3 linked regions of the Xenopus tropicalis genome follow. The protein of the gene in region 2 interacts with the protein of the main gene of each other region in a biochemical or structural test. Links are inferred from orthologs where the notes say so. Each region holds a gene or a part of one and is shown on either strand. Other genes may lie near its edges.

Region 1 (3,500 bases), on a different chromosome or scaffold from region 2:
AAGGAGGGGGGCAGTGCAGGTCTCCTTTAAAGATTTTTGCTTAATGTGAGAGTCTCCTTTCTGGCCAGGGCCTAAAGGTTGTAACTAAATGCATGTGTTGTAATTCCACAGTCTATCACTATTGACAGTCACATATTTAAAGGGTTTATTTTCACATGGTCCAATGTTTCAATTGTACAGGAGAGAAGGTTGATGCCCATATCCATGTCACATCTATAAATAATCCTGTTCTCTTGTTCTCCAGATCTCAGAAATAATGAGCATAAATTGAATCACCATCAGAAGATTGGATTGAAGTGAGTATAATGGTGAAAAAATGATATAATCCGTGCATGCAGGCACATCAGAGACTGCATTAAGTTACGGGAAGAACTGGTGCTTTCATACAGTCTGGTACAGGCACAATATGGTGGGGAAGAGCGGGCAGACTAAAGCTGGCCATACATGCACCAATAATATTGTACGAAACCTTGTTTCGTACAATATTCTGTGCATGTATGACTGCTCGAAGAGGCAACCGATAACGCAGAAGGCTGCATATATTGATCGATTGGCCAGGTCAGAAGATTTTGATCGGGCACCATTGAAGGCGCCCAAGCAAAATCTACGTTCAGGGCTGAATCGCCAGGGGGAGGTATAATTTCTGTTGTTTTTACCTCCATATCTGACGATTCAGCCCTGAACGTCAGTTGCACGAAAGATCAGAATCGCTACGTATATGGCCACCTTAATACAGAGAGAAGGAATAACAGTACAGAAGTGCTGGCACTACCAGTCATTCATAGAGTGTCAGTGACCCCACTCCACCACTGACAGGTCCTATGCACAACAGAGAGTGAGATGATAGTTCCCTGATACAGAGGGATTGTTCATGTGTATATAGATACTATTAAAGCATGTGTTTTGTATCTGCAGATACTTTGATGATTTTGAGAAACGGATCCCGCGTAAGGAGATGATACAAATGCAGGTACTGTGTACATATATCTTTACCGTACTGAGCACTTCCCATACAGCATTGCTAGTGCAGATAGGATCACCAAAGCATGTTTTATTTATTTTTCCTATACTTGCCAGTACATTTCTAACCATAATTTTTGACTGTATTGTATGAGCATAGGTTAATGAGGCCCCCCATGATGCTTTGGCCATCAAACTGTGATCACCCAAGTGTTAATTGGCAAAAATGAAGAGGCAGACTGATATCCCAGTTCATGGCGTGTGGGATATCTGTATTAGAACTGACCAATTAGATATATTTCTGACCTCTGATTGGCAGTGTCATGATTGTGATTTGGTCAGTTGACTTGTGGAATATTTTCATTGCAGGGGAAATATACTGTACTATAGGTTAAAACCATCCAAGTTGTTTGGCTGTAATACTCAGGGTCACCATCAAGGCGAGGTAGTCATAAATTCCATCAGACACCTTGACTGCCATGAAAGGGCTGGAGAGTTACAGGATAGGAGCAGTGGCATAATTAGAGTGTACTGTACACCCCAGAAGTGGGGCAGGGCCTGATGTAAATGCCAAATAATCTCTGTAAAGCTCTGTGTATAAAAAAGAGCATAGCAATAATAATTTGTTGGATGTTTTTGTTCGGTTTATCATGGATCTTATGGCATAAATATATATCTTTGTGTTTGTCTAAATAACCATGTTTGTTTATTTTCTTGCAGGAAAAAGTTATAGATAGAATAAAAATCCTGGACCCTCAGTACATCGCCACAGTGTGTGGAAGCTTCAGACGAGGTGTATATATTAAAATGCTGGTTCTTGTTGTGCCTATTTACACTTCTACACAACCCTTTTTCTAATCTGTCCTTCTGTTTCCAAGACCTAACTATGTTAGTCCTTCCCCTTTTAAAGGGGATCTTAAAAAAAAAAAAAAAATTAAAAACTATAAATAATGAAGACCATTTGAAAAGTTGCTGTTCTGTTACATACTAAAAGTTGGTTTAGAAGTGAACTACCCCTTTAATATTTCTTTTCATATTATGTATGGTTTCTGGGCGTCCCTTCACCAGTTCCCTACCCACTAAGTAGTGGCTATACTGGCATGGTATAGGAAAGGAAGATGATTATGAAAGCGACTGGAAAGAAACCTTATTTATTTAAAAATTAATTATTCTTTATGGTTGCCGGGAATCATTGACCCCAGCAACCAGATAGCAATTACATTTTTTTTTTTACACAAGAACGTGACCTCCCTTTTTAACATCTCCTTTTCCCCCATGTTTGTTTCCAGGTGCAGAGTCCAGTGGGGATATGGACGTTCTCCTGACTCACCCAGACTTCACTTCGGAATCTGCCAAACAGGTCAGAAACCAATGATCGTCCCATTAGTTGTGACCTTTAAACCTAAATCCGTTGTGCTCCAGTGAAGCTGCCATATTTGCTTCGCAGCATAAACCATTGAAGAGCCAGGTGAGGATTTAATGATATTTTCTGTCTTTCTCTTCCCAGCCACACCTTTTGCGTCAGGTCGTGCAATGCCTGGAAGAATGCGAGTTTATCACAGACACGCTTGTAAAGGGAGACACAAAATTTATGGTATTGTCCTAAACTGTTCTTTTATATTTACACAGTTGTTTCATGGCCGCAGTGAAGGTTATGAAGTACAAGCCCCTATGAAGTCAGGCATTTTGTCAGCTCCAGCCTTGGCTCATATGAAAACACTGGATCAGCCAAGCAGCCATAGAAAATCTCTTGCACAGCAGATCATTGGCACCCACAGTTTGGGATGTGATGTATTAGAATTTTATTTTAGTGTTTTGGGTAAGGTAGATTTGGTTCAACATCTGGAAAATTAAACTACTGTGGTATTGTGTTATTATTGCTCATATATCACTGGCATCCAAAGAAATGTGCTTATACCGCTCTGTGATCCAGGTGGGACAATGAAACCCACCCATATTATTTATTTATTTTTTTTAAAAAAGGGTCCCATTTCACCCACCCCATCAAGTACTCCAGCATTGGCTGCCCTCTTGCTCACAATTTGTTTTTACAAAGAGTAGCAATGCTGGGTTGCCTGCTGCCACATGTGGCTCCTTAATAAGTTTAGGTTTCCAGGTGGTGTTTGCTTGGGAGGAACATGCACAGTAAAAGCCAATGTGGACCTGGTTTCCAGTTCACATTCTTCTGGTTGTGAGCCTGGACACTGCTTGTGAAGTGGCCAGACATGGTGTCCTTCAACCATCCTACTCTGCTTTCTTAGGCCGAGTATGGGGCTGTAGGTAGCAGCTCTTGATGCACTTTGCAGGGAGCCTTTGTTGGGGGGGGCAGCACTGTTAAAATCAGTATGGGGGGGGGGTTTCCTATGCCTTTACTAGGTGGGAAAAGTCACCCGTGTAACATTAGTTTTAGGTGGCAAGGCACAGTTTAGTGAAAGCCCACAGAGACATGCCACCCTGAGCCTATAATATGGCTGAAATGCTCAGTGGGGCTTCACTGGAATGATTTTCTTTCTGTATTGTAGGTTATGGGCTTCCACGTG
Region 2 (3,500 bases):
CTGCATGGGTTTCATCTGGGTACGTCGGTTTCCTCCCACACTTTAAAAACATACAGGCACGTTAATTGGCTTCTGATTAAACTGACCATAGTGTGTGTGAATGTGATAGGGACCCTAGATTGTAAGATCTGGGGCAGGGACTGATGAATAATCTCTGTAAAAGCGCTGCGGAAATGTAGCTGCACTATATAAATAACAGCAATAAATGAAATAAAAAATAATTACTGCTCTAATTTCATGCCGTGTGTGCCTATACGTGCATGGGTACTGACCTCAGCTTACTCTGGTGCCTTTGATTTTCTGCAGTTTGAAAAGGAGGAGCAGGTCCACAGCATTGATATTGGCAATGAAGGTTCTGCGTTTGTGGAAGTGCTGGTCGGACACTCCACTTCAATCAGCGAGCAGGAATATGAGGTATGGCAGGTACCTATAGTGCCATATGCAGTGGTTGGGATGATTGTTTATTAAAGTAAAAAAGATTACCATTAATATGGAGGCAGAAAAAGCACAGGCTATAGCGAGAGCATCCTATGTCTGTAAAGCTCCCTAAACATTTAGCAAACGGAAATGGCATTTAAGTTGGTCGTGCTCCTTGAGGATGGGGGTGCTGCTGGTTAAGGAGAACTCTGGACACCATCAACTACCCAGGGCCAATCTCATACTTAGGGATAGTGTGGTAAATACAATACCGTGTCCTCAGCGCTTTGTGATTAATGATATAGAGTCAGTGAAGAAAGTGACGAAAACTCTGTGTGTTCCTGCTTAGGGATAGTTTGCTATAGCATTTTACTCTCCAGAGCTCACAGAATGTAAATGCAGATAGCAAGTTAGTACAGTTGTGAGGAATACAGACCTGATGTGCCAATTCCCATCTTGCTTGTCTCTGCATAGGTCCTCCTGGGAATGTCATCGTTCATGTCTCCTAGCGAGAGCAAGAATGAAAGCAACCTGAATCGGCTGCGAATGTTCGGACCAGACAAGCTCGTGAAAGGAGCAGCTGAAAAGAAATGGGATCGGGTGAAGATTGTGTGCACCCAACCCTACACTAAGGTGTGCAGTGTCTGCTTACAGAGCGGAGAGCTTTGTGGGATATATAATTAACAAACAGAATGTAGATACAATTAGTATTTGTTGTGATGTGTGGGTCGAGGTCAGGTAAGTTAGAGTTGAAATTTGGGCGACCGTTGTGGGTTCAGGTTGGGTGCGGATCAGGCATGAGAAGTACACTTTTCCTTTGCTGAAGTGTGGTAATTTCTGTGGAGTTTGTTGGCAAGCCTTTAGTATATAGCTGGATGCACGTTTTTCTATAAACCATTTCATGTTCTCTTGTCTCATTAGAACCTTGCTTATGGTATTTCATTCATACGTCTGAACTCCCCTCCAGAGGATGGCTCGCCCACCGCTCCCTCACCGGTATGCATTCTACCTGTGCTTGCTTGACTGATACATAAGCAAATACAAGGGGTTCTACATAAGGAACAATTCATTATCTGTGATATAGGGGACCATAAATATTTCTTTGCTCATGCCCTTTTTAATCCCGTCTTCATTTAATCACTTACCTAATAGCAAAGGTTACTAACATGTAAAACTTTATATCATTCATAGGTTGTAGTTCCAGTGATATCTAAGACTGCAAATCAGCACTTATCCCAGAACTTGTGGTTGGCCCAAGGCAACCACAGCCCTTTAGCAGGGAAGATCTGTGCCCCCAAAGATGCCCCAGTAGCCCCCCCCATATCTTCTTTTCTGCTGGTTCCCTGCACATTCAGCTCTGTCTCATCAGCTTACATGACAGGCTGACCTAATTTTGAACAGTGCCGGTTTAGGAAAGTTCACCTTGTGTTTATGCTGCCATGGATTATAAATCATTACTATGCTCTTCTGCAGAAAGTGACCAAACTTGGGCAGTTTATGGTAAAGGAAGAAGAGAACTCATCTCCTTCTATGCGTCCCGGGAGTCTGTTTTTCAGCCGCACCAGCAAGCCGCAGGTTACTCCTCCGAAAAGTAAGCTATTCTGCACATATCCCTTGTAATTCCCTCTATTAGTTATTTTCTGAAATGTGTGAGTGCCCCTGAAACTTGTACAGAAACTGTGTGCATTGCATTACCTACGCTATTAGGTACATTGCAGGTACAGTAACTCTTGAGTCATAGGGTTACTTTACTTCATGGCTTGTACTGCAACCATATGGCAAAACAGCTATAAAGGGGTTGTTTACCTTTTGAGTTAACTTTTACTATGATGTAGAGAGTGATATTCTGAGATATTTTGCAATTGGTCTTCATTTTTTATTATTTTCAGTTCAGGAGCTCTCCAGCCTGGAGTTTCAGTAGTTATTTGGTTGTTAGGGTCAGAGTTACCTTAGCAACCAGGGCGTGGTTTGAATGAGAAACTGATATATGAATAGGAAAGGGACTGAATAGAAAATAAAGTAACAATAACAATAATACTGTAGCCTAACAGAGCAATTGATTTCTGGCTGCCGGATCAGTGACCCCCTTTTCAAAACTCCATAGAGAAGGTGGCAAGTTATTCAAAACACATAAATAATGAAGGGCAATTGAAAAGTTGCTTAGAATTGACCATTCTATAACATACTAAGAGTTTTTAAATTCTCCCTCCAACACTATTCCCTTTATACTGCCACTTAGCTATTGTGTTCTTTTACAGCTCCACCAGCCACACAAAGCTATGCGTCTGCGACATTACAGGGCACAGGAGAGGCCAGCTCCAGCACTGAAAAACAGACTGTTAAAACCCCACCAAGTAATAACATCCCAAAGGTGAGTAAGTTGGGTGTGGGCATGGATACACCGACCGCCTCTGTCTCCTCTATCAGCATAGGGTATACCTATCATACCCATGTATGCGCTACAGATGTTCCAAATGTGGCAGCTTTATTGTCAGCTGTGTCCCAGAGATGTTACACCATGTCCCTTTGGGCACTAACCCATAACCCTTGCTGGCTACGTATAGGGGGATTGAGACTACAGAAAGTCTTCTAGAGCTTAAAAAGGAAGGTTGTGGTCAGACAGCAAGAAATAATGTATTTTTACTGAGGGTCAAGTTGGAAAGATGAGTTGGTAACGGCAGCATAGGAGCTTATGGACAAAAGTAAGAGGGGAAATATATTTGTCTCAATGTTTTCATTAAACAAATACAAAGAATTGGTCCCCTTTAACATCCAAAGACCAATGCCAGTGAAGTTCTAGTTTGTTCTGAGCAGTTGCTGTTCTCTCTAGGAACCGTCATCTGGTAAACGGAAGTTTGAGTTCAGTAAAGAACCCTCAAGCCACTCGGCAGTCAAGAAACACGAAGTCAATAAGTCCCCATCTTCCGCCAAAGAGAGCACATCACAGCCAGCACCCAAAAAGCCAAAAGGTAAAAAAAATTTTTTTTTTCCTTCACTTGGATGACACCTTGAGGCTGGGACACAGTAGCAGCGTACCTGTCACGTGATTTCTGTGAGCCTTGAGATTTAATTCCACGTCTGGG
Region 3 (4,280 bases), on a different chromosome or scaffold from region 2:
CGGAAAAGATTGGCAGAATCCAGAGCCTAGTTCGCCAGCTCATCCATACTCCTCAGCCCTCCATTCGGTTTGCCATGCAAGTGCTGGGGTCTCTGGTGTCCTCTATAGAAGCAGTTCCCTTTGCCCAGTTCCACCTAAGGACTCTACAGTGGAACATTCTGGATCAATGGAACCGCAGCTCCCTCTCCCAGCCAATCAAACTGTTACCCAGAACAAGAGTGGCCCTGTCTTGGTGGCTCAACCCGACTCACCTGGAGAAGGGACGCTCCCTACAGGAACCACAGTGGATTATTCTAACCACGGACGCCAGCCTCCAGGGCTGGGGCGCAGTACTGGGACAGCTCTCAGCTCAGGGAACCTGGACAGCAGCAGAAGCTCAACTTCCAATCAATATTTTGGAAATCAGAGCAGTACGCCTAGCCCTATACCATTGGCAGAACCGACTCACAGGGCGCGACATCAAGATCCAATCGGACAACGCAACCACGGTTGCATACCTGAACCACCAGGGGGGCACAAGAAGTCGACAAGCCCTCAAAGAGGTCAGTCGCATCCTAACATGGGCAGAAGCAAGGGACGTCCGGCTAACGGCAATCTACATTCCGGGACTCGAGAACTGGCAGGCAGACTATCTCAGCCGTCAAAGAATCGATCCAGGGGAATGGGCCCTGAATCCCAAGATCTTCCTAGACATCGTGGACCGATGGGGTCTCCCCGAAGTAGACCTCATGGCCTCTCGTCAGAACCGGAAGGTGACACACTTCATGTCCAGATGTCGAGACCCTCTAGCATTAGCAGCGGATGCCCTGACGGCCACGTGGGACTTCGACCTGGCCTACGTCTTCCCACCTCTCCCTCTGCTTCCAAGAGTCCTCCGAAAGATCAGATCCGAAAGATGCACAGTCATACTGATAGCTCCACATTGGCCCCGAAGAGCCTGGTTCACCGAGCTGGTGGCCCTCAGCAGAGCAGATCCGTGGCCTCTACCTCTCACTCCCGATCTTCTCACCCAAGGGCCAATCCTACACCCCGATCCAACCTTCCTGAATTTGACGGCGTGGCGATTGAGTCGCTAGTCCTTGCCCGAAAAGGTTTTTCCCAAGATGTCATACGCACCCTGATGGCGGCCAGAAAGCCCGTTTCATCCAAGACCTACCATCGTGTATGGAAAACGTACAGTGACTGGTGCAATCAGACAGGAAATTCCTTCCAGGACCTATCAGTCCCCCGACTACTATCCTTTCTGCAGTCAGGCCTGGACAAGGGCCTCTCACTGAGTTCCTTAAAATCTCAAATCTCTGCTCTTTCCGTCCTTTTCCAACAACGGTTAGCCATCCTTCCCGACGTTGCCACATTCATCCAAGGGGTATCTCACATTTGTCCCCCCTTCCGAGAACCGCTGCCGCCATGGGATCTCAACCTAGTACTATCAGCACTGCAAGTTTCTCCATTCGAGCCACTAGCCACCATTCCACTAGCCTGGTTGACCTGGAAGACAGTTTTCCTTCTGGCCATCGCTTCAGCTCGCAGAGTGTCGGAAATTAGCGCTCTCTCCAATCAGCATCCATTTCTCATATTCCACGCGGATCGAGCAGTTCTACGAACCCTCCCATCCTTTGTTCCCAAGGTTGTTTCGTCCTTCCACATAAATCAGGACATCACCATTCCCTCGTTCTGTCCTCATCCAGCCTCTCCCAAAGAGGTGGCCTTACACTCCCTGGACCCGGTGAGGGCCCTAAAATTCTACTTGCACCGTACCCAGGACATAAGAGCGACGACCTCTCTATTTATCCTTCATTCAGGACAACGAAAAGGTCACCAGGCATCTAAGACCACCATATCTCGCTGGATACGGGAAACCATACGAAGAGCCTACATCGCCCGTGGGAGATCTCCCCCCACACAAATCACGGCGCACTCCACCAGGGGCATAGGCACCTCCTGGGCCTTCAGGAACAGAGCCTCAGCTGAACAGGTTTGCAGGGCCGCTACTTGGTCCTCCATCCATTCATTCACAAAATTCTACCAATTTGAGGTATTCGCAGCATCAGACGCGCACTTTGGTAGAAAAGTTCTACAAGCGGCAGTCAATTAATACTTAGCATATCAGACCGCTTCTCCCACCCTGAATTACTGGGACAGCTTTGGTATGTCCCCATGGTCCCTGTGTCCCACAGACGACTGCTAGAGAAAAGGAGATTTTGTGATACTCACCGTTAAATCCTTTTCTCTCAGGAAGTCTGTGGGACACAGGGCTTCCCCCCCTGGAAGCGGAAAACATCTGAACTTCTCTCTGCCTACATGTATATAGTTACTAGTTACTCGTTACCTTGTTGGTTCTTGTTGACAAAACTGGTGAAGGCAGGAAGTGCAAGGGGGTATAGCAGCAGGGAGGAGGGGTTAGGCCTCTTCTTCCTATTCTAGTGTCCTGCCTCCTGCTGGTACCTACTATACCCCCATGGTCCCTGTGTCCCACAGACTTCCTGAGAGAAAAGGATTTAACGGTGATTATCACAAAATCTCCTTTTATTTCAGCCATGTTCATTTGCATGTTATCAGCCAAGACTTTGATTCCCCTTGCCTTAAAAACAAAAAGCACTGGAACTCTTTCACTACGGATTACTTTTTGGAATCCCAAGGTAGGAATTTGTTTATATTCATTTTCTTCTGTGAAAAAAAATCTAGAAGATATTCAAGGGTTCTGTGATAAGTAAAATTGATTTTGTGATCTAAAAAAAAAACATTTGTACAGCGAGCATGCAGCTCATTTTTCTAATGGAAAAAGTAATATGTTGAACTACACAGCCTCCTGTGTCCTGGTGCACTCAAAACTCATTTAGTGCCCAGTATATGTGAATACATACAACTTCCCCTGGTCACACTGTGAGTTTAACTCCACCAGACAGAATAATGACAAAAAAGCAGAATATAAAACCAGGAACCAATATAACCGAGCTTTTACCGATTAGGATTAATCTTTACAGTCCAGGCTGTTCCCCCAAACAAAACAAGTTTGCAGTGGCTGCCCCTATGGCTACACAGCAGCTTATTTGTATGAACTATAGTAGTGTATCTGATGATAATGCACAATTTTACCAGTGAAGATCAACATTACATTATATTTTAATTTGTTACTGTTCATCAAGTCTTTGTAAAAGGGTTTCTAAACCTTTTTTTTTTTTTTTTTGTAAGCTATGATTGAAATGATAAAAACACATGGCAAAGTCAACGTCAAAGATGGAGTGTCTGAGCTTCTGAAAACTCCTCTTATGTGCCACATTTGCAGGAAGGAGCAAGCAAATATGCCTCAACTGAAGGAGCACTTAAAGAAGCACTGGCCAACATAATATATTGGTATTTTATTGTAGTCCTGGTTTTGGAGATTCTCATAGAAACTTTTGCTTATACAAAAGAATACATTCTACTCCTAGTGTGCCCTTTTTAATATCCATTTTCATTTGCTAGGGCTTCTGTTGTTTGTTTGGTTAGTTAAAAACTGATACTAAAAGGGCGGACAGTTCCAAAGCATCCTTGCCACATGGGTGTATTTTAATTTTTTAGCCTGTGTTTGGCCATCCAGTCTGTCATTTGCTTCAGTAGAATCCATCTGTCACTAGACTGATTTCTGGCAGAAAATGTATAAATGTGTTTTCCTGTCAAAATCCACATCAACTCTAATGTCATGCAGATTTCATTCTAAGACAGACTGAGCAGCCACACTGGGGTGCTTCTTTTCTGTTTGAGAATGCAGGTATATAATATGTGCCATGAAAAAAAAAATAGAAAAAGAACAGGGCCAGATGGGTTACAATACACAAATTCTTAACGTTCCACCTTTTGGCTACAGATCAGCAGGTGTTATCTGAGTTAATTAATTGAAACACTGCACTACAGGTTGCCTTTCTTTACTAAATGTTTTTTCAGAAGTTGGCTATATTAAACATGTCTGTGGGCAGGGCTATCACAGTCCTGCGTGTTGCAGTGTCACCTGACCAATCCCAGCAGATTTGCTGCTCAGGACTCACCCCAAAGCTTAAGGCTAATGCCAGACGAGGCGCTTGCTGAAAATTCCGCCCTACGCCTCCTACATGTGCCTGCACTCGGATGAATGGAATACGCTCGGGTGCCGAAATACGCATAAAATGCGAGACTTTCAAACCTCGCGTTGTTATGCGTATTTCCGCTACATGTGCCTGCACCAGAGCATATTCCATTCATTCGGGTGCAGGCACAAGTAGGAGGCATAGGGCGGAATTTTCAGCAAGCGTTTTTCCACTTGC

The links. The genes of interacting proteins can lie anywhere in the genome.
Region 1: the proteins of xrcc1 (region 2) and polb form a complex in vitro, tested with the Homo sapiens proteins (5 studies listed by BioGRID, with this or other methods). The link is inferred for Xenopus tropicalis from reciprocal best matches to the Homo sapiens genes XRCC1 and POLB.
Region 3: the proteins of xrcc1 (region 2) and aptx form a complex in vitro, tested with the Homo sapiens proteins (2 studies listed by BioGRID). The link is inferred for Xenopus tropicalis from reciprocal best matches to the Homo sapiens genes XRCC1 and APTX.

Annotation. Positions count from the first base shown.
Region 1 is NC_030679.2:130,625,430-130,628,929, reverse strand, and holds part of polb (DNA polymerase beta), read left to right. Parts: intron 1-244; coding exon 245-296; intron 297-915; coding exon 916-970; intron 971-1,680; coding exon 1,681-1,753; intron 1,754-2,249; coding exon 2,250-2,320; intron 2,321-2,467; coding exon 2,468-2,554; intron 2,555-3,500.
Region 2 is NC_030683.2:118,935,119-118,938,618, forward strand, and holds part of xrcc1 (DNA repair protein XRCC1), read left to right. Parts: intron 1-306; coding exon 307-414; intron 415-891; coding exon 892-1,050; intron 1,051-1,338; coding exon 1,339-1,413; intron 1,414-1,890; coding exon 1,891-2,008; intron 2,009-2,675; coding exon 2,676-2,788; intron 2,789-3,247; coding exon 3,248-3,386; intron 3,387-3,500. UniProt on the Homo sapiens protein: Scaffold protein involved in DNA single-strand break repair by mediating the assembly of DNA break repair protein complexes. Negatively regulates ADP-ribosyltransferase activity of PARP1 during base-excision repair in order to prevent excessive PARP1 activity.
Region 3 is NC_030677.2:94,471,890-94,476,169, forward strand, and holds the end of aptx (aprataxin), read left to right. Parts: intron 1-2,535; coding exon 2,536-2,639; intron 2,640-3,192; coding exon 3,193-3,347; 3' UTR 3,348-3,780; downstream 3,781-4,280. UniProt on the Homo sapiens protein: DNA-binding protein involved in single-strand DNA break repair, double-strand DNA break repair and base excision repair.